2 linked regions of the Elephas maximus indicus genome follow. The protein of the gene in region 2 binds, or shares a complex with, the protein of the main gene of each other region. Links are inferred from orthologs where the notes say so. Each region holds a gene or a part of one and is shown on either strand. Other genes may lie near its edges.

The links.
Region 1: LRP5 (region 2) and FZD8 share a complex: the UniProt entries of both Homo sapiens proteins name them as parts of the wnt-signaling complex. The link is inferred for Elephas maximus indicus from reciprocal best matches to the Homo sapiens genes LRP5 and FZD8.

The regions. Positions count from the first base shown.
Region 1 is NC_064822.1:9,844,472-9,858,745, forward strand, and holds FZD8 (frizzled-8), read right to left. Parts: upstream 7,112-14,274; 5' UTR 7,109-7,111; coding exon 5,018-7,108; 3' UTR 2,753-5,017; downstream 1-2,752. UniProt on the Homo sapiens protein: Receptor for Wnt proteins. Component of the Wnt-Fzd-LRP5-LRP6 complex that triggers beta-catenin signaling through inducing aggregation of receptor-ligand complexes into ribosome-sized signalosomes.
Region 2 is NC_064825.1:131,042,264-131,057,576, reverse strand, and holds the start of LRP5 (low-density lipoprotein receptor-related protein 5), read right to left. Parts: upstream 5,698-15,313; 5' UTR 5,619-5,697; coding exon 5,528-5,618; intron 1-5,527. UniProt on the Homo sapiens protein: Acts as a coreceptor with members of the frizzled family of seven-transmembrane spanning receptors to transduce signal by Wnt proteins.

The sequences.
Region 1 (14,274 bases), on a different chromosome or scaffold from region 2:
ATGCAGATTCTGATTTATTCGATAAGACCTGAGATTCAACATTTCTAGTAAGCTCCTAGTCTCGCCTCTGCTACTGGTCCAGGGACTACACTTTTTTAAGTAGCAAGGTTCTAAATGACCCCTAGGATCTCTCTTAACTCTAAAATTCTATGATCTTGGTAAGTGACCTCCAAGATCTTATCCTGCTCTGCCTCCCCCGGGGCTAGCGCCTCCTCCTTGCCTTCTGTTCCCATCAGCCACTCTGGCTTTCACGAACAAGAAGTCTTCAAACATGGCGCTGTGAGGCAGCCCCGTTTCTTTGCTCATCCTCCCGTAAAGGCCTAGTCTTCCCACACTTCTGGGCTGTGTGAATCTTTCTCCCTCAGGACTCTGGTATTCCAGGGGAGATTCTTCCCCCTCGCTTCCCTTTGGCTGACCTTGTTTCCCAGCTTTCTTTCTATTCCTTAGTATGTTTCCATGAACACCTGGATGGATAACTGGGGGACAGCCTACTTCCCACCCAACCCAGTGTGCACTGAGGAGTTCCCACTGGACTCAGCACATTAGCTTCCTCATGAGAAGCTGTCGTTTAATTAATCAAGCAAGCTAATTACATCTCACCTCAAAATACTCTTTATTATCCATTCCTTTCTCCTATCAAGTTTTGATCTGGTGGATCTTTGGCAAGGATCCCATTCTTTAAATAAAAATAACTCAAGATAATTTTGAAAAAGACTTGGATTTCAATGCAGCTTAATTCTGTTTTTAACATAACTACTATAGTGAGAATTTAATTCAAACTGACGTTAATAAAGGTTAATTTTACTGTACAAACCAAAAAACCCAAACCCATTGCCATTGAATCAATTCTGACTCATAGCGATCCTATAGGACAAGGTAGAACCGCCCCACAGAGTTTCCAAGGCTGTAACCTTTACAGAAGCTTACTGGCACATCTTTCTCCCACGGAGCGGCTGGTGGGTTCAAACCGCTGACCTTTTGGTTAGCAGCTGAGCGCTTAACCACTACGCCACCAGGGCTCCTTATCCTACTGCTTGGCGGGGATGAATCCAGGTCTTGCGGGGCCTTAAGCTTATGTAATTTTGTAAATTTGGAATCATTTAAAAGAAATCACAATTATGAATACAAAATGCTCGCAGGTCCTCTGAAAAGGCCCATATGTGTGAGAGGGTCCGTACATGTGGCCATGTGGTTATTCCGAAGGAATGAATTGAAAGAAGGCATCTATTCACCTGGTTCTGTAACTTTATCCTACCACAAGAGGGCAGTATGGTTTCAAACGTGGCAAGCTGCTATCTTCAATGGGATTCATGTGCTTCTGAGTTTGGAGACTCTCAGAATGTTCGCATCCACCTTTCAACTGCAGCCCTTGCTTTGTAACTCCTTGAGTCTCTGTGATTTTTCTTCTGTCAAGACAACCTGAGTTCTCTCCCCCAAAACTTGGCAGTATAGCAACCTACGGCAAGTTCAAGGTACATCACCAAACTGTAAGGCAACATGGTTTGCCCCTTAAACTTTCTCATCAACTTTTTCCCCTTCTGTTTTATGGTACTTTCATATTGCGTTTATTATAAAGGACAAAGAAAGGGTCGCACATAACTTCTCCCACAGCGATTTTAATGAGCTTCTGGCTTTTCTAGCGGTTTCATCCATAGCTGGCTTTATCTACATGGATCTTCTGGCCACACAGGAACCCCACACCTCCATCCCCATATTCGACAGCATTGTCAAAAACTAACACTTGTTTCACATAGTGATTGAGGGCACACATGCATAGCACAAAGTAAAGCGGTGCGCTGGCAAGGAACCCATTTGTTTGACGCAAATGGCCAGAGACCCTTTCCGCCTTTTTCCCATCACCAAAATCAGTTTGGGTTTTGATGCCATTAACAGACACCATTTAGGTATTGACAGCTTTGTAACTGGAGTTCTGGTTTTAACACAAACACTCAGGGCTTGTGTGTCAATATCACTCTCCGGTGAGGTTCAGAGCCGGCTTGTGTATGTGGGCTGTCTTTTGAGAATTGCCCTCAGTATGTAAATAGGGTTTCCTGTTTGTTTAAAAGCTTGATTATATTTACCACACTTCAGAGCCGTCTTGTAAACGTTATCAAACATGGCATTTTCCAAGGACATAGTAAAGAGTCCATAAAGGAAAAAAGTTTCCAAGTTGAACATTTCTCACTGGGTCAGAAAGTTGAAAATATGTCAGTAAAGAGAATACTGTTCCATTGGAAAACCAACATGCTAACAAGTGAGTGAGCTCTCTCCCCTTCCTACGTATGTGGTAAAGATTATACAAACTTCCCTCAAAATTTTACTTGAGAGCTGAGAATGTCAAGCTTATGGCTGGCTTACGGCATAACCTACCATATAGGTCAGGTGCAGGCTACCTACTGGTACCTTAGTTAGCAAACAGCAATTCTCTGATGAATAAAACTGCTGGAGACGTGCAGACTTTACAAGACCTCTGAATATAAAATCAACATTAGAGCCATAGCAGGGTTCCTTACTTCATACCTAATCTTAAAATTTCAATCCACACTCAGAATAACTCTGAAAAGATGTTGCAAAAGATCACTACTAAGATACTGTTCTTAGGAGCTTCTTATATAAGCTCAGTCAAGGAAATAGTTCCTTTCCATTCGTTAAGATAGTTCCATTCCATTCGTTAAGAAAAAAAAAGTTAAAAAAATTTAAACCACTAAAGATTCCTATTAGGAAAAGTAAAGAGAACAAACATCTTAACAGGATGCAGAAAACAAGTCCTCCCTCCCACCCCACCGTGACTGATGCCTCCGTCATTAGCGGGGTAGCTGCCCATTTCTTATCTTGATTGACAGGTTAATACGGAACCTGGGGCTATCTTTTCAGTATGAACACACAACCTCACCAATTACTTTTAAATTATTGCTAATCTGTCAGAAAATAACAAGCATAAGGAATAAAAATATCTGAAAAATAGAGATATCTCCTGAAGCAGCTTTTGCTTCCGGCGCTTTAAAAGACTAGGTTCAGAAAACTTGCCAGAATTGAGTCAATAGAATTTAGGCATTGAGGATTTTTTTTTTTTAAAGAAAAACTTGTAGTTTATAATAGTTCATTGGTTCAATTAGGAGCGAAAAAGAAGGGAGTTTTGTAATGCAATTGTCCAGCAAAGGAAAACGCTTTAAATGGGGGGATTATGTGAGCAGACCACCTGTAGGGCACTCACAGTCCTTTTCTATAAAGCTTCAACCCATGTCTAGCTGCCTGCAGGCTGGCTAACAATGCCGGCAAAAGCTGTTTAAAAGGCTGAGCGCACTTGGGCTTCTGGTCTTCACTAACTGTTACAAGTCTTCCTCTCCTGCTCCCTCTCCCTCGTTCTCTCTCCTTTTAAAAGTCCCACATCCCTTTAATTGAAGAACTTTAAGGCTCCATGGTGGCCAATTGGTCTGCAACAAGAGGAACCAGGCAGCAGGGAAAGAAACTGCAGACTATACGTCACATTTGGAGAGGAGAAAAGATCAAAGTTTTTCCAACTCAAAAGACCAAGTTCCCTACAGATTAACCCTATTCATTTAGCTCCTCTTAGAGGAATGATGGGCTGAGCCACTGGACAGACAGGTAAAAAGTTCAACAATTGCCAAAGCATTCTTCTGCTAATTCAACAGCCTTCTGCTCAAATAAATTAGCTTAGTCTTGACAGAGGAACAATAGCTTTTTCTGTGGAAAAAGCAGCCCATTTGATATACACAAGCCTGGACGGTTATTAAGATGTTAACCCGTTAGTTTAATCCATTAAAGAGCCTGCTCCTTCACCAGGTTGTCAAGTGACTTACACTGTAAAGTGTGATTTATGGGTTTAAAATGTTAACCTTCACACTTGGGCAGCGTGTTCAGTTCCTGAATAACCAGGTGCTTTGCAAATCATGGACGCGAGAAATCAGTGTGGGGTTTTGAAGCCTTTAGTGAGAGTACACAGGATAAATAACAAGGCACAAGTGGAATTAGTGCCTTGCCAAAGTTCCATTTACACAGACTACGATGAGAGCTGTTATCCACGGATCAAAAAAGTTACCACTAGAAACACCATCTTTTTTTGGGAGGTGCAAAAACTCAGTTTTGATTTCAGTTCAACAATGATATTTACTTTGCTAACAACTTAAGAATTAGCAGTTAACAGGTAATTTTCTCCATGCCTAGGGTCAGCGTACAGAGTGATAATCCAGAAAATGTCCATTTCTCCGATGTGTTCTTAGCAAGCACGTCAAAGCTAACAGCTTAGAAGAGGCAGGGGGAGAGGGCCAAGGTTAAATCATTTATCAAAAGTCTTTTTATTGACAAAATAGAATACTTATATTTGTTCTTACAGGGGTAGCCTCTAAACTTTTTACAAAAAAAATGTACAGACTGTATATCTTTGGATATGTACATATTTTACACTTTTTTTTTTTTTTTTACAATTTAACAAATAATTATATAAATACATCCTTTAATGTAAGAAACCCGTATTTACTTGGGGTGTATAGTTAAGACATTTCTCGTTTGTTTATTTAAGGCATTTGCCTGGTCATTAAGAATACCCAAACCCTGCAATCCCGTTAGGTCGTGGTCTTCCCGCCTCTAGGACATGTTAAGAGTTTATGTGGGCGAGTCAAGGGAGAAAGATCTGTCCCTCAGGTCAAATCTGTTGATGTTGCTTCAAGCTCAGCAAAGGGCAACCAGTGAGTTCTCCAAACCTAGGGTTTTGGAAACGCAGCAGAGGCCACCCTCCAGTGCCAACAGACATTAACGCCTGGCGCTAGGAGCTCCTTGCATATCAATGCCGGAAAGGGGGCTGGGTCTGGGCGGCTTCAATGCCAGGTACTTTGTTCTACGCAAGTCATTTAAGTCCCAGCTAATGGATACCATTAAGAGTTCATTATCATGCTAATAGCAATCAACACGGTGAAGGGGTGGGAACCTCTGATCATCAAGAGTCCCTCTGTACTAGGTCTCCTCGACCCTCCTTCCTCCCCACCCCCCTCCCCTCCGCTCAGACCTGGGACAATGGCATCTGCTTGGGGTAAGACACGGAGCTGGCCGTGCCAGACCTCCACGTCAGGCCGGTGCTGACGTCGCTGTAGAGGGAGCCCCCGCCGCCGCCCGGTCCCCCGCCCCCGCCGGGCCCCGCACCGCCCCCGCCCACCCCGCTGACTCCCCCCACGGCCGCGGAGCCCGCGCTCCCGCCCGCCGCGGCGCCCTTGCTGGCCCAGCAGCAGCGGGTGCACAGGGCGCGCCAGGACTCGAGCGTCTTGCCAGACCAGACCCACACGCCCGAGGTGATGCCCACCACGAGGCACATGAAGTACTTCAGCATGAACACGGCGTAGTCAGGCCGACGGGCCTGGTCGGGCTGCAGGTCCCGCAGGCACGGGCAGTTGTGCGTAGCCTCCCAGCGCGGGCGGTTGTGCTGCTCGTAGAAGAGGCAGGCGACCACGACGGCGGCGGGCACGGTGTAGAGCACGGTGAAGAGGCCCAGGCGGATCATGAGCTTCTCCAGCTTGTGCGTCTTGGTGGGCCCGCCCTGCTGCTTGATGACCGAGCGGATGCGGAAGAGCGACACGAAGCCCGCCAGCAGAAACATGGTGCCGATGAAGAGGTAGATGACCAGCGGTGCCAGCACGAAGCCGCGCAGGTTGTCGAGGCTCTGGTTGCCCACGTAGCAGATGCCCGCCACCGGGTCCCCGTCCACCGAGCTGAGCGCCAGCACGGCGATGGACTTGACGCTGGGCACGAGCCACGCGGCCAGGTGGAAGTACTGCGAGTAGCCGGCGATGGCCTCGTTGCCCCACTTCATGCCGGCCGCCAGGAACCACGTGAGCGACAGGATCACCCACCAGATGGAGCTGGCCATGCCGAAGAAGTAGACCAGCAGGAAGACGACAGTACACAGGGCCGGGCCCGTGGTCTCGTAGCGCACGTGCTGCTCCACGGCGCCCAGTTCCTCGTACTCGCCGCGCCCGCCCGGGCCGCCCGCGCCCGCTCCCGCTGCGCCCGCGCCCGCCGCCGCCGCCGCACCGCCCGCAGGTCCCGCGCCGCCAGGGCCGGGCGCGCCGCCGCTGCACGCCACCTTCTCGTGGCCTGCCACTAGGCGCACCAGGTAGCCTACCGACACGAAGAGGTAGCAGGCCGAGAGGAAGATGATGGGCCGCTCCGGGTACTTGAAACGCTCCATGTCAATGAGGAAGGTGGAGACGGTGGCGAAGGTGGACACGAAGCAGAGCACGGACCACAGGCCGATCCAGAAGACGGTGAAGGCTCGCTCGTCCTGGCTGAAGAACGGGTTGTGACAGGGCAGCGCGCAGTTGGCGATCTGGCCCGTCTTGACGCGGTTGTACAGTGGATGCCGCTCACTGGACACGCTCACCATGGGAGCGCGGCACTGGCAGCCCGGCTCGCAGGGCGCCGAGCCGCCACCAGGGGGCCGCGCCTTCCCGCCGCCGCCGCCGCGCGCGGGGGGCGCCGCCGTGTCCCCCCCGCCGCCGCCGCCGCTCTTGCCGCCGCGGTGAGGGGGCCTGGCCCCCGACGAGCGGCTGTGGCCGCTGCCCGTGGGCGGCTGCTCGCCGGGCAGCGGCGGCGGCGGGTGGCGGCGCGGCGGGCTGGGCGCGGCCGTGGTGAGGTCGGTGCGGTTGTAGTCCATGCATAGCGTGTCGGGGTTGCCCTGCTCCGGCAGCCGGTCGCAGCGCATGCGGTCGGGCCAGGCGAAGCCGTACTGGCGCATGAGCGGCGCGCAGCCGGCCTTGGCGCGCTCGCACACCGAGCGGCAGGGCGGCAGCGGCTTTTTGTAGTCTTCCAGGCAGATGGGCGTGTACATGCTGCACAGGAAGAACTTGAGGTCGGGCGAGCACTGGATCTCTACCAGTGGCCAGAACTGGTGCACCTCCAGGCCCGCCTCGTCCTGCGTGTCGTGGTTGAACTGGTTGGGCATGTAGGTATAGTTGTAGCCGATGCCCTTGCACAGGGGCACCGTGATCTCCTGGCACGCCAGCTCTTTGGCCGAGGCGGCCGCCGCGCCGCTCGAGCGCTGCAACAGCGCGAAGGCGGCCAGCAGCGAGGTCACTTCCAACAGGTAACTCCACTCCATGCTGGGCGCCTCAGCCCCGCACGCCGCCGCCGTGTCCTCGCCCCTCCACGAGGCGCGCGTCCCGGGGCCCGGGCCTGGAGGCGCGGGGAGGGGCGCCGGGAAACCAGAGAGGAGAGGAAGAAACCCGGGTACCCGGGGCCTCTCTGTCCTGCCGGCCTCCCTCTCCTGGGGAGGGGAGTCTGCGGAAAGCCGAGCCCCTTCTCAGGGGCAGAGTTCCAGCAGCGCGGTCCGGAAGGCTGGGCAGGAATCCGTCCAAACCTCCCTTCCGCCGCTTGACCGGCCACTCCGGGGAGCCGGGCAGAAAGCGCAGTGCCGCGCTCCCTCCTCCTCGGATCGCACAGCGGTTCCGGGGAAATTAGGGGGTGGGCTGCAGGCTAGCACGACAGACCCCCTCGGGTCTTTCGCCTGCTTATTTTGGTCCGATTTCAGCTCGCGCGGAGGAGAGTTGCTGGCCTCAGGCTCATCTTCCTGCACTTGCGTTTTCCCTCTCCCTCCGCGCCGCGGCCACTTTTCCGCCGCGACTCCCGGGCTGGCGGCGACTTTGCTGAGCACAGAAGGTGGCGGAGCAGCAAGTTTCCTCTCCAACCCCCGTGATGCAGTCAAGATGGCTGAGCCAGGCGCACTCCTCGAGTCCGGGGTCAACCTCTCCAGCCCGCTCTGTCCCCGAGGGGGTACATTCCTGCTCCCACAGCCGCCGCCGGCTCCCCGAGTTTGGAGGAGAACTCCCCTCCGCCGAGGCCGCTGCCTCTTAGCCCCGGGGTCCGTCAGTCCGTCCGCCAGCCGGGACAGACAAATCCCGCCTCCGGGTAAAAGTCCGCGCCGTGCTACGGCAAGTAATCGAGCGAGTTGCAGGCAGTTTTCTCCTTGCTAAAACAAAAAACAAAAATCCAGACCAAAAGGCAACGCGAAAACACCTGAGCTGATCGGTGTCTGGCTGGAGCCGCCGGCGCCACCACCTCCTCGGCGGGAGCAGCGCCCTTTGCCCAACTTCCCAGTCTCCAGCCCCAGCTCGAGCAGAGCTGCCGGACTCATGAATATTTATACGGAGCGGACTCAGTCTCCGCCCCTGGAAGGGGCAGCCAATCATCGGGCGACGGGGCGGAGTCTACGCGCTCCCAAGACTCAACCTTCCTTAAGGCCGTCCGCAGTGTCTGGCCGTAAATTTGCGCTTTCTGGTGATGGAGATTCGGTATTGATAACCTTGGGATTGACCGCAGAAACGGAGAGTCAGCGCAGCCTCCCCGGGAGCGCACGAATCCCCTCGCTGCTCCTGGCTTGAAGTTTGTCATGCTTGCCCCTAGGCACTCCTGAGGTCTTGGTCCCATTTTCCTGAATCTGCACCTGGGGGACTGGGACGTGATTATAGGCAGCGCGCGTCTCCCCAGACCGATTTCAGATCAGTAAAGCCCCTCAATCCACTTTACTTCCCCGAATGTGGGGTGGCTGGCCGGCAGCAGGGGTTCCGCGCCCCTTGGTGAGCCGGGGGAGGAGCGGAGCCCTCTGCAGGTGGGTGTGAGAAGGCTGGGTGGGCGGGGCTAGCCCCTATTGAGTGCACTCTGGGGGATCCGGAAAGGGGTGCCCTCTTTAGGGTTCTCAGAAGTTGGTCTTTGAGGCTTGGAAACGTGGGGAGAGTCAGCAAGTCAGTGTATTCTGAATGGTGGAGCTGGATTAGGTGAGGGCCGTGACCCCAGCTGCAGTGGTCTGCCGGCCAGAGGCAGCCGCAGAGCAGGGGCGCAGGGTCTGGCACAGGTGGTGGTAGGGGTTCGCCTGCCACCTTCCCGCTGGGTGACCTTGGGGAAGGTATTTATCATCTCTGAACTTGTTTCCTTCCCTGCAAAATGGGGGTGATCGCGGTCCAGATCTCAAAAGGGATAATTAGGTGACATAAAATATATAAAGCATCCAGGACACAGTTCTTCCTTACGAGAACGAATTCTCCTTTAAGAAAAAAAAAAAAAAAGCTTATAAATAGGAGAGGCTGAAAACTCTGCCGCTGGATCCTATATTTTCCTCTTGTACTTCTGGAGCGTATATACATCTCTCCAAAGTTCACCTGTTTTCGCCAAAGCCTCCTTTTCTACGGTCTGATACAGCCCTGGCGCCTTCGAGGCGGGGCTGCGCCCCTGGCGCCGACACGTAACCTTGGTCTTCCAGAGCAGGGGCGGGGCCAGAGCTTCTTTCAGCTGCCGCTTGTGACGCTGCCAATTAGCGCTGCCCCAGCCACTCCACCAACCACCTTAAGAATCGGGTGGTGGGGGGGCGGAGGGGCAGGCGGCCTGGCAGGTTCATTTACGCTTGTTAGGACGTCCCAGGGGGTTGTCTTTCTCCTAGAATGGAGTGTTTATTTTTTAATTGATGTGCTGTTTCATTTAGCGCTTGTATGGAACTCACGCTGGGGCTGTAATTACTGTAATCTCAGGAACAAGCATTTCGGTTAGCCAGGAGGGTGGCAAAATACAGTCTCTCTCTCTCTTTTTGTTTCTAAATTTTTTCTATTTGTCAGGTTTCATATCTGGAGCAAGTAGGGCAAGGGGACAAAAGTTGTTGAGGGTGGGAGGACAAAGACGAATTCAAGGTGCATTTGAGACCAATTCAGATTTTGGGGTGGGTTGTGGTTTTTTGTGGTTATCTGTTTAAAACCAACTTTTGTCACAAAACAAACAGAAAAACTAGCAGTTTTTGTATATTGCTTGAGCTAATGGAGTCTCTCTTCTTCCTTCTGTTTCTGTAGCTTGGTTTAGCAGCCTCACTACGCACCACATTCTAAGGAGACAGGCAGAAACACCTCCTACCTTCCCGCCTCCCCCCGCCCCCCCGCGTTTTGGCAAGTTCTGCGTTTTCGCCGAGAATTCTAGGTATATTCACCAGGATGTACCTGTATTCCACCATCTTTTAAAAATTGAAGTCTGGTTAGAATCTCTTGATACTGAAAAACAACACTTCCTTCCCACTTTTGTTTTGGAAAAACCAAACTCCTTAAAAAGAAATTCAACAGCTTCAGATATATTAGCTGATTCAGTAGAAGAAAATAGAGTCTATTAAAAAATGCAAAGACGACACCTTTACTTGGTCTTTCCATGGCTTCACCCCCCATCCCCCACCCCCGCCTCTGACTCTCTATCTCCATTCGTGGTATGTTGAATTCAAAAAGTCACCTAACCCCTATCCTGCTACGTTGTTCAAAGTCAGCCATTCTGCAGAACATTCAGCTCCTGGGAACAGGTAACTCCCAGAGTCAAAATTCTGCTCTGAGGTGCAGTGGTGAACGCAAAGCACCCTTTTAACGACCGGCCTGGAGGCTGCAGATGGGAGGGGCCAGTTTCCAAAAGCAACAGAGGTGTTAAAAAGTTTCTACTGCTTTTCTTCAGCCTGGAAATGCCAAATAGTGAGGTCTAGAATGACGCTATATAAATTTACTAGAATTAGGTAAAAACAAATTTTGACATTTGAAAATTGAGGCTGAAAGTTGATTTTGGATCTTAACTGGCATTTAATTTTTTTTTTCTGGCTTTTTTATTTTGAGACAAGATGAAAGCTTAGATGATGTGGAATGTGGAAATTTTTGGTAAGTATGTTAAGCTTGCAGGAAAAAAATTAAGTAGACAGAAGTTCAGGGTTTTAAAAATTCATGCTATAAGCTATTTAGGGAAACTTACTGATTTGTGAGATTAAAATCATTCACATAAAAATCGCGAAATGTTTACTTTTAATTCAGAGAACATAAAAATAGCATTTAGAGTTACTATTAAATTACTGCTTACCCATTTTCCAGAGCAGAAGAGCGAGACTTAAGAAGCCAATTAGTGTATAAAAGACAGTAATGGGTCAGTTAACAAATCAGTCATTTTTGACCTTCTGGGTTAATGTTGTTTTTTTTTTTTTCTTTTGTATGTAAAGCAGCTTTTTTTTTTTTTTTTTTTTGGAGAGTTACATAAATAACGTAGGAAAGTTTCTAGAGGGGTTTCTGAACAGATGTCTTGTTACTAAATAGCCTATAAGCATTATACAGGCAGTTGAAGGCCAGAATCTGCCACAGAGCAGGGTAATGTTTTACATGATATTCGATACCAAGTTAGATAGGAGATTATCAGTATACTATATTTCTCAAATTTAAGAAACAGGAAATTGTTTTTTAGTGGATTATAGTTTAAAAATCCAATATAAAAATTCCTATGCAAGTGAGGGTCTAACATACAACAATAAAATGGCAATGATTAAGTGGAGAATTCTTCAGTAACTAGTGAAATTTCTCTGGTGTTACATAAAATACCAAAGTTTTCTCCTAAAAGCATTTTTCCTTTCAGGGAAACAATCAAACACTACATTGTTCGGGAATATAAAACTCTATAATATTGGGGTTTCATGGCATTTTAATTTTTTGGTTTTTAAGAATTGAGTCTTGAGTCTCACTCCACAGATGGAAGGGAAGTTAGAGATCAACTGGTCTTACTCTAATCTCTACTAGATTTAAAATGGGTGAGATAATTTATATATTATTCTATATGGACATTAAAATTTATGAAAGGTCTTCTACTTTTAACTATTTTCTTTGCAACCAGGAAAAGAATCCAATCGGAAAGGAGTACTCTGTCATTGTGTCTGCTGTTACAAGGCCAAGTTGCCAATGGATGAAGATAACTGAGGACAATATACGCCATTGGTTAGGAATCTTTACACGCAGAAGTCATTTTAGAAAATGGTAACGGCACTGGCTGTCATTACTTAACGTTATAATTATTGTAAACTATATTTTAAAGGAGTCCCTGGGAGGTACAATTGGTTAATGTGTTTAGCAGCTAGCTGAAGGCTTGGCAGTTCCAGTCCACTTGGAAAGCTTTGGAAGAAAGGCCTAGAGATCTACTTCCAGAACACCAGCCACTGAAAACCCTGTGGAGAGCAGTTCTACTCGGACATTCATGCGGTTTCTATGAGACCGAATCTACACAAAGGCAACTGGTACTGGTTATGTTTTAAAAATCAACCATTTATCTCTTTTATTCTTTTTTTTTTTTTTCCAGTTCACGTTGGATTACTGGCAGTGGTTAAGAGCTTGGCTGCTAACCAAAAGGTTGGCAGTTCGAATCCACCATCCATTCCTTGGACACCCCATGGGCAGTTCTACTCTGTCCTATAGGGTCACTATGAGTCAGCACCGACTCAGCGGCAATGGGTTACTGGCACCACTGGGAGCTTTTAGGTGCAGTAAAACACCGGTCGCCTTTGAGCTGATTCTGACTCAGGGTGACCCCACGTGTGTCAGAGTGGAACTGTGCTCCACAGGGTTTTCACTGGCTGATTTTTCAGAAGTGAATCCCCAGGCCTTTCTTCCAACATGCCTCCGGGTAGACTTGAACCTCCGACCATTTGGTTAGCAGCCAAACGCATTACACGATTACACCACCGAGGGACCCTCAGGTGCAATAAAGACCTCCAAAGTAAAACTGGCTTATCCAAGAAGGACATTTAATTAATCTCAAATAATAAGAAATCTAGAACCAGGAAGTCCCACCGTTGGTTTATTTTGTGACTCAGTGGTGTTAGGCTTTCAGGCTGCTGTCTTGGTGAGTCTTGGCTCTCCTTTTGGTTACACACAGCCTCCACCACCAAATCATCACATTTCACAGAACGGCAATCAAGGCAGGAAGGGAGACAGGACTGACCCCCGTGCTGCTCTCCTCCTGTTGGAAAGAGAACATTTCCCAGCAGACCCGAGCTAACGTCCCCTATGGCGCCTTGGTCTGCTGCAAAGGAGGCTGCGAGAGTGAGATCCCAGTGTCTGGGGGGCAGTCGGTGAGAAGAAAGCGGAGGAGGAGGGCAACGTTGCTGAGCAGGTGATCAGCAACGTCAACGATACGTTACTATTCTGAAAGAAACGAACTCTTCAGTAATATCATTTAGGCAGCAAGCTTAGTCTTCCAGTGTATTTTGTCCACGGTTAATTATGAGTTATGTATGTTCTAGACCCAAAGAGGAAACCCTGGGTGGTAGGAGTGGTTGGTTAATGCACTCAGCTGCTAACTTCGAGTTTGGAGGTTCACGTCCACCCAGCGGTGCCTCCGAAGAAAGGCCTGGTGAGCTACTTCTGAAAAATCATCTACTGAAAACCTTCTGGAACAGTCCTACTCTGACGCACAAGGGGTCCCCACGGGTCAGGGTAGACTCCACGGCGACACGGTGGAGCAAAGAAACCCGGACATATACACTTCTGTTTTCTTCCTTATTAAGCTCACACACTCCAGTTCTCTGTGCAGTTAGTGAGCAATAAATGTCAAACAGTTTACTACTTGTTTTATTTTTAATGTATAAATATACATTTGTTAGTATAACTCTTTGTTCTTTTTTGATAAGCTTTTTCATGCTTCTTTTGGAGGCTTCACTAAAAACACTGGTACAGTTTTGGAGATTTTTGTTGTTGTTACGTCCTATACCAGGTAATTTTTTTTTCTGTCGATAAAATTAGGTATAATGCAAGGGAAACTGTTTAATTCCATCTCTAAACTGCTTTAAAAATTTTTTTAAAACTGCTTATGGATATGAAATAACCTTTGTATTTAAAAAATGTTGATCTAGGGAAGACTTTATAGCTGGTAGCAATGATCCATTTTAAATGGTGGTCGGAAATAATAAACTTTACATTGATAGCACCCATAGTAATTATTAGGATTAAGGGCTTGGAGGTGGTAGAGACTACAATGGCATTTCTTTCTATTTTGTGTTTATCTTTGATAAGTTTATGTTAAATGGATGTCATTTTTTTTTTTTCTAGAGGTGATAACACTTGATTTTTTTTTTTTTTCTGGTCTGAGTCTTGCTTGCTCTTAGAAGCAAATGTGCTTGTATAGGGTTGACCTGATAGCTTACTCTATTATAAGTATAATTTATAGTATAACAATACTTAAAAAGGCTAAAATAAGGAAATACTGTTGTATCAATGGTTGCTGAGTTTTTGAAATAGTATCTCAACATATATTTACAATGTGAAACTTTTTTAACTTACAAAGGCATACAAAATCTCAATCCGTGTGTAAATTTTCTCCGTGAACTCCCTGCAAGCTTTCTCAAAACACATTCTGGTGCGGCACAGTGTGAAAACCCTTGTCTATAAGACGTTCACAGTATGTTGTTAATTGAAAAACAGCAGATTATAGAGCTATATGGTTTAGGCC
Region 2 (15,313 bases):
TTTCAGAACTGGGCAGTGTTTCGTTCTGTGGTATACAGGGTCGCTATGAGTCAGAAGCGATTCGATGGCACCTAAGAACAATGACCCCCAAGAACACACTCATCCCCCACCATTCCTGGTGGTCCAGGTGCCTCAGGCCTCCAGTGAGATGAAAACATAAGCCTCATGCTAGAGAAGGCCTCAGAGATCAGGACCCACTGGCTTCACTTTGCACACGAGGAAGCTGGGGCACACAGAGGGGCAATGAAGAGCTGGACATCTCCTCCCCAGGGCTCCAAGCCCAGGGCATGCCAAGTAGTGTGTGTGCCGCCCTCCCTGTGCGTTCTCCAGGGAGAGGGATCCTCCGGCAGATCCCCAAATGGGTGCCTCACACCCCAAAAAGGCTAAAAGCAAACCACTCTCCTCACTGAGGAGTCCCTCAGTGGTGCAAAGGGTTAACACGCTGGGCTGCTAAATGAAAGATTGAGGTTTGAGTCCACCCAGGAGCACCTTGGAAGAAAGGCCTGGCTATCTACGTCCAAAAAATCAGCCCCTGAGAAGCCTATGGAGAGCACCTCTGCCCTGACACACATAGGGCTGACAGGAGTCAGAGCCGACTTGAGGACAACTGGTCTGGCTTTTTCCCTTTTATTGCGTGCTTGTCGGGCCCTATCCCGCACTAAAGACTTTATGCATTATTTTATCAAATGCCCAGTGAAGCTAACAGACAGAAACCATTGTTGATCTCATTTTGTATATGAAGTCAAGGACCAGTTGGTTAGGTAACTGCTATATCAGATTTGAAGCCTGAACCCAGGCTTGTTGGATTCCAGTGCTCAGGGCCATAAAGATACTGTGGCCGGATGGGGGATGTTTCCTGAACTCTGAGCAGGAGATAAGGGGAGGGTATTAGGAGGCCCTGGTGGTCCAAATGGTTAAACACTGGACTGCTAGCCAAAAAGCTGGACGTTTGAATCCACACAGAGGGACCTCAGAAGAAAGGCCTGGCAATCTACTTCTGAAAAATCAGCTGCTGAAAACGCTATGCAGCGCAATTCTGCTATGACAACACACACGGGGACGCCGTGAGTCGGGGTCAACGCGACGGTAACTGGTTGATCCCCACTGCACAAATCTTTGCTTCAGTTTAACCGTTAGAAAAATTACCTCAAGGCAAATGGGAAGTTGTTGTTGGGTGCCGTGAATTCCAACTCATAGCAACGCTATAGGGCAGAGTAGAATTGCCCCATAGGGTTTCCTAGGCCGCACTCCACCAGAGCAGATCGCCAGGTCTTTTCTCCCTTGGAGCAGCTGGTGGGTTTGAACTGCGGACCTTTAGGTTAGCAGCCAAGCGCTTAACCATTGCACCACCAGGGCTCCTTAAAAGGAAAGTAGACGCTCAAAAAGTGTTCACTGAGTTAAACATCAACCAACAAAGCAAAGGAAAAAAACAGACAGTACAGTATACCCCCCACCTCTCCAAAAGGGCTCATAGGGAACTTTACCATGACAACCTCCCAGGGGGTCTTGCAGGCAGGGACTGCTTGTGCGAACTGTCATCAGCGAGCACGTGGCCTTGTCCGCACACCCCTCTGCGCAGCTTAAGGGTTCTGGGCTGCCAGCCACCCCACAAGGGCAAATCTGTGCCAATCACAGACCCAAAGCACCTAAGCCCCCTCCCACACAGGAGTCCGGGGACTTCCAAACCCAGGCATTCCGTCAGGAAGGGCATTTTTAAAAGGAAAGCTGGCCACCTAGGGCAGGACCTCTTGGCTTTTCCCACAATGACCCCACTGAACCCGAACAGGCGCCCTGCTAGGTGAACACCACCATCCCCACTTTACAGATGAGGAAACTGAGGCTGGGAGTAAGTAAACAGGCTCCAGAGCTGAAGAGAGAGCAGAGACCAGGTTCCAGCCAGCTGGTGGGGCCCTGGGCGGTGGGGGCGGGGGTCCCTCTTTGTAGGATCCCTAGCTACCTCTGTACACCAGCGCTGGCAACACACTACCCCCAGAGGGGGTCTGCTGAGGAGTGGACATGCCACGGAGCAGACATGCCACAAAGCACACACAGCATGGAGCAGACACATCACAGAGCAGACACGCCACGAAAGCAGACATGCCGTTGCTTTCTGAGCAAATGGGCAAACAGACCCATAAGGCGAAGGAGCTGGACACACAGGCTCCACTGTGAGAGCGTGTGAAGGAGTCGTCCACAAGACCTCGCAGACCACAGATGTCCCGCTGCTGTCAGGGGTTCTGTAACAGTGAAACGCACCGACTCACCCTGCCCCTCCTCCTGGGAGGCCAGCCCTGGCCTTCTAGCGGGCCCCTGTCTCACTTCCCCTCTCGGTCGCTGCCATGTTGCTGAGCTGCCCAGGGAGAATCCAACACCAAGTTCAACTGCATCACAGCCCAGCTTAACACGGATCCCATGCCCAGCTCCTAGGATGTTTTGGCTCCCAGCTTATACTTGCTGGGAGAAATAGCCAACCAAGATGGATCCAAACCCTTCACCTTGACACACCTGACTCCAGCCTGCATTCCCAAACTCTGACTAAAGTTTTCTGGGGCTTCGATCACATCTGGCCCACATCCAGTCCTTGGTGCCCCCTGGGCCTGCCCCTCTCCTAGCTAAAGTGAGCTCTAGCTGACTCTACGCTGGTAGCCCAGACAGCAGGGCCCAGGCCTTCATCGCCATCATGACCCAGCCTATCCCCACCACTTGGCACAATACCAGGCATCAAAGAGTAACAGCAACGAGAACAGCTAACACAGAGCCAGGCATGTGTTAACTCACTGACTTGGTGGTTGGAAGACTTGTTATCTCCATTTTACAGAAGAGAAAACCGAGGCACGGAAAAGTGAAGTGGCAGGGCAGGGATCAGACTGGAGGCACTCAGCTCCATCTGCACTGTCAACCACCCCACTCCAATCACGCGGTGTTGTGGTGGCCCTGTATCATTTAGGGAATAAACGAGTCCATCAGCGGACTAGAAAGCTAAGGTCGTGGGCAGAATGGAAATCCAGACTGCAGAATAGCAGCTTCTAGACCTTGCAGGCCAGGAAGATCAAGGACCCTAGTACACAACAGTCCCTCGCCTGGGCCTGGGGGGCTGCTAAGGGCTTCCACCCCCCATTTAAACCTCCCAGCGCCTGGGAAAGGAGCGGACCAGATAAAGACGTCAGACATAGACAAGCTAAGTAAGGCGCCCAAAGTCAGTCGGCTACTGAGCAGCAGCCTGGGCCCACGAACCCGTTTGTCCGACCTCAAAGTCCAGCGGCTCCGCAGCTCCAGGGCAGAAATCGATGCTGAGTCCTCCCTTGCGTACCCCACCCCCCCGCCCCCCCACCCCGCCCCCGCCGAGTGCAAATCCGGCTACATGCCTGAGCAGTGACAGGGAATTAAACAGCTTCCACATGTGACAGGGACCAGGGTGAGTCTCGACTGAGAGGAGGTGAATAAGTGTGGTGCCCAGGGGCTGGCCGGATACCTTCCTGGATTTGATCAGAACGGTGGAACCCATATGGCCTGGCTCTGAAAAACAGAGGGTCCTCTGGAGGAGACCCTCTCAGTGGGCTCCACACAGCATTGAATTTACCCAACCAACGCTGGCTGGGCCTGCCAGGAGTGTGCCTTGAACCCGCCCTCCATCAGGGAGCATGCCCACCTGCAGAAACCCCCTGGGGCAGGGGGAAGGAACCTGGCCAGGCAGGTGGGGCCAGAGGAGGAGACGGGGCGTCTGAGGCGGTAACGCCCCTCCCCGCACCAGGGCCCCCAGAACAAAGGCACCTACATGGGCTCACAGCTTCGAATTGCAGCAGGAAGCAATCAGGAAAAACAATTAGCTACTGGCTTGCTGGCTTTACTTGAGACCCAGGCAGAGGTCTGAGGTGACAGCCCAGAGGCAGGGCATATCACGAACAGCCAAAGCGGTTCTACAGAAAATACCCCTCCTTCTCATTTCTTTCCATTTCAGGGTTGTATCTCCACACGCGCCGGGGCTCCTGGGCTTCCTAAACCCCTCCGGACAAGCCTCCTGATGTTAAAACCATCAACCCTATTTTTGCTTCACATAGGACTCAGCTCCACAGATGGTGATTCTTTCCTTGGGGGGCTCAAATCGCCCAGGCGACAGGCATTCATACTCCACAACAGGACCCCAAAAGGTACAGGAAATCCCGAACTGCCAGGAGGTGAGACGCAAGAGCGATGCCTTAGAAGCCCCACCTTTAAAACAAACATCTTCCCAAAAACCCCTTTTGCCTGCATGATCCAGGCATTTCCGGCAAGAAAAGGCGCCGGGATGGCCTGCGCAACGCAGATACCTCATTGTTTTGTCTTCACCTTGGTTTACTAGCTCCAGACCGGGCCAGGAAATGTAAACACTCTCCTGAGAGAGGCAAATTTGGGGGGAAATGGCCCACAGAACCTCTAGGAAGGCTTGAGAAAAGGGGCCCCAAGCTTTCTGCGCTTCTGAATGACACAGACTCAGTGGTGGGGCCCAGGCTGGGAATGCCACCGGCAAAGCCAGGCCGGGACCCTCCCTGCAAATGTCCACACTGGAGATATTCCGGGACAGCTGTGTGCCTGACGGAGGCCCAGACAAAGGGACCCGGGCTCCCCCACACTCTGCAACTGCCCCCACCAGGAGGGGGGAACCCAGCGCCACAGGACAGGCTGGCCCGTCCACTTGGTCAGCCACACTCCAGAAAAACAAAACACGCACGTCTGAAGAGAATGATTTAGGTAGGGAGCCTTGCTTCAAAAACCACATGGCAATCTCCAAATTAAAAGAACATGCGTGGCATTTCACAACGCTTAGGTTTCCCGAGTCCTCCTGACCTCAACTCCACCCCTCGGGACACACTGAAAGTCGGGGAGAAAGTTCCCCAACTCTCGATCCCGCCAAAGGTGTGCACACCGAGAAACACGCACGTTCCTCTGATGGGACCGACCCGACACCCGGCTCGGCTGGCCCACGCCGCCAGCCCCCGGGGGGGGGACATCGGTCAGCTGGGCCGGGCGCCACCGTTTGGGGCCCACCGGCCGGCCGGACGGACACCTGGCAGGTGGCAGCCCGCTTGGAAACACAGCAACGTCAAAGGGGGCAGCGCAACAGGCCAGGACTCCCCGCGCCGGTCGCAGAACTTTCTCGCTGCAGCCCCAGTGGGACTCGCAGGCCGGCGGCGCGGCCATGGGCAAGAGGCTCGCCAGAGAGTTCCCGCTCCAGGGCGGCGAGGCCTGTCCCCCGCCGACAGGCTCCCTGCGCGCGGCCCCGCACGCCGAGCCGGGCGCCGGGCAGGTGAGGACGCGCCCGCCGCACCTGGCGGGGTGGCCCGGGACGGGGACGGCGCCCCGGGAAGGGCCCGGCGGGCGAGACAAAGGCCGGCGCGCGGCCCGGCGGCGGGGAGCGGGGACCGCCGCGCGCCCCAACTCGCCCCAACTTGCAAAGTGGCTCCGAGGCGGCGGCGCGCGCTCGGCCGCGGCCCGCCCTCCCCGGCGCACGGCCATTGTCCCCCTGTGTCCCCCGGCCGGCGCCCCCTACCCGCGGCGGGGCGCAGGCTGCAGCACAGCGCCAGGAGCAGCAGCAGCGGCGGCGGCGGGGGCCGGGGCGGCCGGGGCGGCGCCGCCTCCATGTTGTCCGGCGGCCGGACGCGCCCGCGCCGCTCACTCGGGCCCCATGGCGAGGCGGCTCCTCCGGCTCCGGCGCTCCCGCCTCCCTCGGCGCCGCTGGCGGGACGCGGGGGGCAGGGACCCAGCAGGGCGCGGGCGGAAGCGCGCCGCGTCCCCGCCCCCCGCCGGCCGCGCCCCCGGAGCCCGCCCCCCGGAGCCCGCCCGCGCCCCGCCTGCCCCCCGCCCGGGCCCAGCCAAAGCCACCCCGGCTCCGCGCTGGGCTCGGCCGGTGGTTTCACCCCAAGCAAGTTCCGGTAGCAGGTGTGTCACCTGTAGAGCTAAAAGGACCCCGCCTCTTACAGATGGGGAAACTGAGGCACAGGGGTGGGGGAGATTGCTCCAAGGGCACACCGCGAGGCAGCGGTAGGCTGGAAGCCAGGGGCCCCAAGCCGGGTCTGTGCACCTTCCCTGGGCGGCCACCGCCCCTGAGCGACAGCCACCCCCAGGTCCCAACGGGGCGACCAGTTCTCACTTCTGCGGTTACCAGGGAGGGCAGAGGGGGGCGACCGCGAGTCGGGCAGGGACAGAGCGGTTGATGGAGAGGGGCTGCAGCTGGCTGGGCTGGGGCTGGGGGTGGGCTTCAGGTTTAATTTTGGACTTAGTTTGTGCCCTCGGCTTTGATTAGGGTACAGGGAGACTGAGCAATGGCCCCATTCCTTCTTCTCCACGTGCTTGGAGGCTGGCGGAGCCAGAAAGCCTGGTCTGAGAGTTCCAACCTCAGGGGGTCCCACACCTTCAATTCCTTCAACAAGCAGGCGCTGGGCTCACGGTATGGTGCCCCACTCTGCGCTAGGCCCAAGCATCAGGCTCAGGACTGAGAGGGGCTGGGAAGGGGACGCTCTAGAATGGGCAGGGAGTGAGGGGAGGGGCGGCAGAAGAGGGCTCTGGATCCCGTGGTCCAAGTTCAAATCCAACTCTGCTGCTTTCTGGAATCGTGAGTGCCCTTGGTCAGGTGTGTATATTACCTCTCTGAGTACTATTTCCTCCTCCCTTGCACAGTGTTGGAGCCCTGTTGGGGCAGTGGTTAAGAGCTCAGCTGCTAACCAAAAGGTCGACAGTTAAAATCCACCAGCCGCTCCTATGGGGCAGTTCTACTCTGTCCTATAGAGTCCCTTTGAGTCAGGATCGACTGGATGACAACGGGTTTGGTTTTTTTCGTGTTTGCAGAGTGTTGAGAGGACTAGTGATAACACAGAGACACTACCCATTACTCATGAAAGCATGTGGTCTTCCATATTACAAAGCCAGAGTCCAGGCAGGAGGCCTCCGCCCTCCTGAGGCTTATAACTTAGCAAGGAGCACAGCCAAAAAAAAGGCAAATGAGTTTAAGATCACCACAAGGGGCTGTGAGGAGCTCCATGAAAAATGGAGGCTGTTGGGCTACAATGATGGGGACCTACTGATTCAGGGAGGTGGGCAGACTTCCTGGAGGAGGGGATGTTTGAGCTACCTCCTGGGTGATAAGAGGGGCAGCCTGCTGGGAAGGGGGAGGAGTTCAGGTAGATAAATCATGGCGGGGAGGGGAAGGCCTGAGGGCAGGGTCTGCCTCTGCCTGCTGGACTTGTGTGTAGAGGCTGGGGGTGGAGGTGGAAGGGGAAGATCAGATTGGGAAAAGGGGTTGAGAGTTTATCCCAAGAATGATAGGAAACATTTGTAGGGATTTAAGCAGCAAAAGGAGTCCCCGGGGTGCAAATGGCTAAAGTGCTTGGCTGCTAACCAAAAAGTTACAGGTTCAAGTCCACCCAGAGGCACCTTGCAAGCAAGCCCTGGCAATCTGCTGTCAAAAAATCAACCATTGAAAACCCTACGGAGCACACAGTTCTGCTGTAACATGCATGGGGTGGCCATGAGTTGAAATTGGCTTAAAGTCAGCTGGTTTGGTTTTTCTAAGCGGTGCTCCATCCCGGCAGTACATCCTGTTGGCTCCACTTTCCAAAACGGATCTAGAACCCCACCTCTTCTCACACCCCCACTGCTGCTACCCTGAACCAAGTCGCCTTTCACCCCCTGACAGGTCTCCTACTTCTGGACTTGCCCCCTTTCAGCCAAATCTCACAGCAGCCAGAGTGAGCAAGTTACATCCCTCAGGTCATGTCCTTCCTCCGCTCAAGAAGGCTCCCATCTCTGTCAGAAGAGAAGCCCAAGGACTATGGCACCCCAGGGCCTGCTCTGGTCCCCCTCCCTGTTTACTTCTCATACCTAGCTACACACTCCCCTCCCCCCCTCACCCTGCTGCTTGCCAATGGCCTCCCCACTGGCCTCAAATACACTCCTGCCTCAGGACTTTTTCACTTGCCGTTCTGTCTGCCTGAAACTCTCTCCTCAGTTAGCCTCATGGCTCGCTCCCTCACCTCCTTCATTCAGCTCCCCATGAAGGCCTTCCCTGAACCCCGTCAAAAATTCAAACTACACACACACTACCCACCCTTGCCAGCACTTTCTACACCATTCCTCTTTTATTCTTCTCCTTTTTTGTTGGTTTTGTCCCCTGCTGTATCCTCTGTGCCTAGACCAGAGCCTGGCACACAGTCCCCATTGCTGTCGAGCCAATTCCAACTCATAGCGACCCTACAGGACAGAGTAGAACCACCTCATAGGGTTTTCAAGGAGCAGCTGGTGGATTCAAACTGCCGGCCTTTTGGCTAGCAGCCGTAGCTCGTAACCACTGCGCTACCAGGGCTCCTGGCTAGAGGTGCTCAGGAAATGTTTGTTCAGTGAATGAATAAAAAGATCTGATATGTGTTCACGAAAGAGTCACTGTGGCTGCTGGGCAGGGGCAGCACTGTGGGAAGGCAAGAGGGGAAGCCAGGGTAGGGGGCTGGTCAGCAGATAGGCACGAGGGCTGCAACCAGGGAAGATAGCAGCTTGGACTCGGTAGGGGTGGCGGAAGGGGCTCATAGGTGGCGAGAAGGGACTGGATTCAGGATACCTTTAAGAAGAGCAGGAGGACTCACTAAAGGCATTGGCTGTGGGGACAAGGGACAGGGAGCTCAGGATCGCTTGCCATAGCGACTCTGCTAAAAAACCCATTGCTGTCGAGTCAATGCCAACTCATGGCGACCCCCTGTGCGTCTGAGCAGAACTGTGCTGCACAGGGTTTTCAATGGCTGACTTTATCCTCACGGAGGGAGATGCAAAACTTGAGTCTCTGATAGGGAGATTTCTGTATATGCAGAAAAATCCATTCATGTCAGGGGACAACGGGGGCTGGGAGTGGCTCCTAGGGCACCCTGGGGCCTCCAGAACCCAATCTTGGGGTGCCAACTGTGAAGACACCACCAGAGGCCTGGAGAGGGAAGAGCCTGTGCCCTGGGTCTCAAAGCCCATCAGAACGAGATCCCAGGTGGCCTGACTTGGATCAGAACTCTGAGAAAAGTCGCTTGCAAAGGGAGAAACGAGGCTGACCATGATTTTATTCTGTGGAGTTATGACACCATCACAGGGCTGGTCATTTTTAGACCCTTTGGTAATATAACAAGCACCTGGAAAACGTGCTAAGCTTCCACTTCCCCCAGAGGTTGCCTGTCACAGCTCACACCACCTCCAGACTTTCCTCAGGCCTCCTGTTTGGAAATCTTCACCATCATTTCATTCCTTAGATTTTAGCTCCTCCGTCACAGTGGAGGGGGCGGGGAGGGGTCGGCACCTGTCCGATCTAATCATATCTGGGGACAGGAGCTCCATTAGGGTCCACTTAAGGCCCATCAGGGATGAAGTCTCAGTCCCATAACATGGGTGGGAAGGACATTTTGGTTTCCCTCCCAGGCTGGAACATGCTGACTCTGGAGAGTTATTCTGGGCACCAGGGCCCCTCCCGCCCAGCAGGCCTGCAGGGAGTGACCCGAGATCTGACCGCTGTGGTCAGAGGGGTGCCCTGGGCTCCGGAGCACCCCGGGCCCTTCCGAGCCAGGAGCATCCTTCCCAAGGAGGCTTGGTGGAGACACACACACAACCCTGGCCTCTCTCTCCTGCAGTGGACGCCATCTCCCAGCAACCTGCACCAGGAGCAGGTAAGGGAAGGCCACCGTCTGTCCACAGCAGTGGACGCTGGGCGGCTTATTTGGTGGCAGGTCACAGTTTCTGTGGGTGCAGGGGACGCAGGCTGGGCTTCACCTCTCCAAGCCTCAGTTTCCTCATTCATAAAAAGGGGGTGATGACATCTGCTCAACTTCTTATCTCTCAGTGCTGATGTGAACCCAAAGTGTGATAAAGTTGAAAACACACTCCTCATGCTTTCAAGTGCTGCTTTAGTGTAAATTTGTGGTAACATGAGCCCAGCACCTGCACAGAAGTCGCCCCACTTCCCCCTCTTCTCCCATGGTGGTCATCCATCCCTTACATTTCTCTCTCCGAGGGAGGGGAGGACACAGAGAGCAGCATCCAGGCTGAGAGAAGGAGGAGTACAGATGACTCAGCCTTTGGCCTGAGCTCCTGGAAGGCCAGGACGGCCATTCGCCAAGATTAGATGTGTTAAGTGGATGAAAAGAGAGACCAGGGGAGGGAAGGTGGTGGGGCATAGTGGGGGTGGGATATGAATCCCACCTTGACCTTGTTTGGATTCTATGGGACCTCTCGGTGGAGGAGTGGTGTGGGCAGGGTCTGGGGACCAGGGAAGAGGGCTGCGCGGGGAAATTTAGGAATGCCCAGTGTATGACAGCATGTAAGGCCATGCGCCCGGAGGAGCAAACATGAAGAAAGAGGTTCAGGCTCTGAGCCCTGGGACCTCAGACGCACAGGGTGCAGGGAGGTGAGGAGAACCATGAGGGCAAGGGGGGGCAAAGTGAGGGAAGATGGGGGGACAGAGTAAGATGAGGCTGGAGACCTGTCCGTTGGACCTACCGAGGGGCAGGTCCTCAGTGACTTTGACCCACTAAAGATCACACGTACCTGGCTTTTACTGAGGCCCAGGCACTTAGCTGAACGCCCAGGACTCCACAGGGCTAAGGAAGGAAATAGCTTCAGCCTCTCCCTGTACTTTAGACCCTTAAACCGGGCCCGCGCTTTCCTCCCCCCGCCGGGTGAATACCTGGCCAGGTGCCCTAACCTCTGTGGCCCTCTCAGGTGTGGTGACATCCTTGGGTCACGTCTAGTCCTAACATTCTCAGCACAGGATCAAAATTCTCAAGTTTATTCGAAGTCACAACTTCTCCCTCTGCAGTGGGGGTAGGGACAGCCCCACCTGGGCTCTGTCTCTGCATCCCGCCCCACCTACCCCTCCAGCCTGGCTGCACCTGGGGAGAGGAAGGACTGTCACCAGTGACCAGGCACTGGGACCCTTGTGGGTTTTGGCAGATTCCAACTGTTGATTCATTCTCTCAGGAGCTCTTTATGGGCACGTTGGATGTTTCTCGGGACTGAGCCTGATCCCTGGGAAACACGAGCCTTTGCCCACACTCCCGGACGGGCAGCTCAGCCCAGGGTAGTCACCTGTCCTTCTCCACTGCCGACCAGGCAGCTGCAGCCTGACCTTGGCCTTTGCTTTATCAGGCATGGAGCAAACCAGACACATGCGTTGTCCCCCAGCCCCTCACCCCAGCTCCAGGGGACATGCTGTCGAGCCTCGTTATTAGGCAGGGATCCCGTATTCTCCATCTTGTCTAGTCGATAAAATCCTGGCGGGGCGGGGGGGGGCTTTAAGGTCATTCAAAGGTCTGCACATGAGCAACGTGGCCTGTATACTGTATTTGCAGGGACTTTATAGCCCATCTCAAGGAGCCCTGTTGGCGCAGTGGTTAAGCGCTCGGCTGCTGTCCCAAAGGTCAGCAGTTGGACCCACCAGCTGCTCCGTGGGAGAAAGATGTGACAGTCTGCTTCTGTGGAGATTTACAGCCTTGGAAACCCTACGGGGCAATTCTACTCTGTCCTATAGGGTCGTTGTGAGTGGGAATTGACTCCATAGCAACAGGTTTGGGTCTTTTGGGGTTTTTAGAGCCCATAACAACAGTGAATAACGAGACTTGATTATAAGTCCACAAGGTCTTTTGCTGTCTGTCTCCTGCCAGGTTTGAGATGAAGGGAAAGTACTCCTAAGGCTGGCTCTCTTTCTCATGCCTCCCACTCCTCTTTTATACTTTCAAGGGAAGTGGTGGGCTAATTATTAGGGTGACCCACAATCATATTTGCCCAGAACTGAGGGGGTTCCTGGGACTTTTATTATTAAAACTGGGAAAGTCCCCGGCAACCTGGGATGAGTTGGCCACCTCAGGGCTGGGGAAGGAAGCAGGCTCCCTCTGCAGGCTCCTCACCAGCCTTCCAGGCACTCAGACTCCAGGGCGACAGTAGGAACGGAGACCCACGTGTATACCATTGAAGAGTTATACATCAAGCCACCAAGCAGTTGAACAGCTGCTTCATCTGTCCTCCGGCCCGACCTTCCTACCTTCACAACACCTGATGACCAAGCCCCTCAGAACTCTCAGACAGGCTGGGCATGGCAGGGGAGAGGACCCGGCCCTGGACCACCCAGACCCAGTGCCCCGAAGACTGTCCATGGGGGAGGTGCCCACACAGCCTGGACGTGGGCTCTGTGCTGCTTGGGGGCTTGAGGCCCTAGGTCCTATCCAGGAGGGGGGTTTGCGCCTCAGGGAAGCACATCTCCTTGGCCCTGAGGGGGTGGGAAGGCTGGAGGGGCAAGACAGCATTTATTAACTTCAAGCCAAATGGAAGCCTCAAGGCCCATCCTGACACCCCCAAGTATTCCAAACCACCCACAGCTCAGAACAGGAGTGAGAAAACAGTCAGCAGCTAGCAGCAGCCAAGCCAGGACTCGCACTCAGATCTCTGGCTCCATGCAGCCCTTCTTCTTCCAGGCTCACGCTCTCTCTCGCACTGACTCACTCCCCTCCCCCAGGTCCTCTTCCCTGCAGGGACTCCTCGTGCGGGCCTGGGAAGCTCAGCCACTCCCCCTCCTCCAGCTCCACCCCCCCCCGCCCCAGTAAGCAGGAGCAAGCTTCCCCTTTTCAAAAACAAACATCTTCCCTCCCCTGCATTCTCTCTCCCCTCTGTCCGTGAGTGGGGGCTTCTCTAACCACCATCTGTACTCGCTGCCTCCTGCCCTCACCTGTGCCCTGTGACCCCGCCCGCCCTTGCAGTGCTGCCTCCTGCCCTCACCTGTGCCTGGTGACGCCACCCGCCCCTGCAGCAGCATTCCCATTGCTCTCTCCAAAGGCCGTTGCTTCTAGGCTCTGCAGTCTCCACCACCCACACCTCCCCTCTGACTGTCCCTCCTCTCCCAGCCTCACCCCTCCTGCTCACAAGCTCTCCCTGCTCCAGGCACTGCCTCCCAAGTGTCCCCCTTTCTCCATCCCCACCACCAGGTTCAGCCCCCCAGGCTCTGCCAACTGTAGTCTGTGCCTCCACAAGAAAACCAAACCGTAGCCGTCGAGTCAATTCCAACTGATAGCCACCCTGTAGGACAGAGTAGACCTGCCTCTTAGGGTTTCTAAGGAGCAGCTGGTGGCTTCAAACTGCTGACCTTTTGGTTAGCAGGCGAGCTCGTAACCAGTGTGCCGTCAGGACTCCTTGCAGTTATTGTTGTTGTTGTTAGGTGCTGTTGAGCTGGTGTCGACTCACAGTGACCCCATGCGCGACAGAACAAAACACTGCCCGGCCCTGCGCCGTCCTCACGGTCTGCGCTACGCTTGAGCCCGTTGTTGCAGCCACTGTGTCAGTCCATCTCATTGGGGTTCCTCCTCTGTTTCACTGGCCCTCTACTTTATGAAGCAAGATGTCCTTCGCCAGGGACTGATCCCCCTGATAACGTGTCCAAAGCATGTGAGACGTAGTCTCGCCATCCTCGCTTCTGATGAGCGTTCTGGTTGTGTTTCTTCCAAGACAGATTTGCTCATTCTTTTGGCAGTCCGTGGCATATTCAATATTCTCTGCCAACAGGTCAATTCAAAGGCATCAATTCAGTCTTCCTGATTCATTAGGATCACCTTTCAGTGGGTGAGGTTGGGGAAGGCTCAGATGGGGACTGGGCTGAGGAGGGGAGAGAGAACAAGTGTTGCAGAAGCTCAGCAGGGAGAGGCCCCCTCCAGCAGGAGGCAGACAAGGCCTCAGGGAGACAGTGCCGGTGACCTAGACCTTGACAAATGGGCAGCTGTGGAGAGGGTAGGTGGGGATTCCGGTGGGAGGCAGGGTGTGCACGGGACCGTGACACCCAGATCTGAAGCCAGGAGCAGCTGGTTTGTGGGGGTGTTGATGGGGAAGGGGACTGTAGGCAGGGAGGCTGTGGGGGACAGCACCCAGGGGAGAGCTTGGCTCCTGTGCAATATTACGCAGTTTTCTGCCCAAGGACATTCCTCGTGCTCAGACACGGGGGTGAGGTCACCCCCACCCTTCTCGCAGGAAATAATCCACCTCAAGAACATTCCCAACAGGTGTGACAAGAAGAGAAGCCATCACAGGTATGGGGACACCTTTGCCCTGAGTAGCAGCGGAGGGTGTGGTCCCAGGGCGGCAGCTGAGGGCTTGCCTGGGGACCTTGGGTCTGTGTTAGCCTCCAGGAAGATCCCTCTTTCTCCCCACTGGGGTCTTAGAAGCAGCAGCAGCCCCCAGCCTTGGGGTTGGAGTAGAAAGAGGCTTCTCCGGGGCAGGCTGGGTCCAGCATTGAGCCGAAAGATACAAGTGCTGAGGCCCTGGGGCAGCAAGGACACGGAGCCCCAACCAAAGCTGGGAGGGAGACCCCAGACCCACTGGCAGCTCTCGGGTCTTGGTCCCCAGCCCTGGGCAGGTACAGCAGGTAAAGCTAAGAGCCTGGTGATTGGGGCCCCTGACCATGAGGGCCACCTCCTGCCCACACCCCCTCCTCAGATCAGTGGTTCATGAACACCCTCATGGCCACTCGGCCCAAAATAAAAATGGATGGAGGCCTGGAGGGCAGCGAGGAAGCTTCACACCGAGCAGAGCACATGGGGCCTTTAGTGTGAAGCCCCTGCCTCCAGACGTTGACCTGGACTAGGTTCTCTACCAACAAGGCCTTCTCGCTGCCCTGGCTGGGTCGAGGTTGCAGGGTGAGTCCTCTCAAGCACATTCTCCAGGCCCTCCAGGACCAGCATCAAGCCCCTGCTTTCTCCTTATATCCTCCTGGTGACTCTTAAAAAATGAAAACCAGTTGCCCTCGAGTTAATCCTGACTCAGGGACTCCACGTGTGCAAAATAAAACTGCTCCATAGGGTGACCTTTCAGAAGCAGATCGCCAGGCCTTTCTTGGGAGGCACCTCTGGGTGGGCTCTGCTAGTAGCAGAGTGCAAACCGTTTGAGCCACTCTTGACAACCCTTCAGGGAAGGTCTTATCCATGCCCATTTTACAGAGAGGGAAACTGAGGCCAAGGGAAGCTGTATGACATGCCTGAGGTCCTTCTCTGGCATGTGGTGGAGCTCCGATCCCCATTCTTCATCTCCCCACAAGGCCCTGCGTCCTTTCTGGGGAAAGGGGCTGAGGCAGGTGAGGACCGTGATTGAGGTGGCTCAGAATCTCTGCTCCAGGACGCTCCAGGTCCTCGGGGACTGCAGTAAGCCATGTGGCCACAAGAGGGCAGCAGCCTCCCGCCGTGCCTGGCTCCTCTTGGGGCTCTGGCCCTGGGAAAGGGGCCCCGCTCTGGAAGAAACATCCAGCGACGCAGGAGTGGGGAGTCTCGGCAGGTGGACCTCGCGG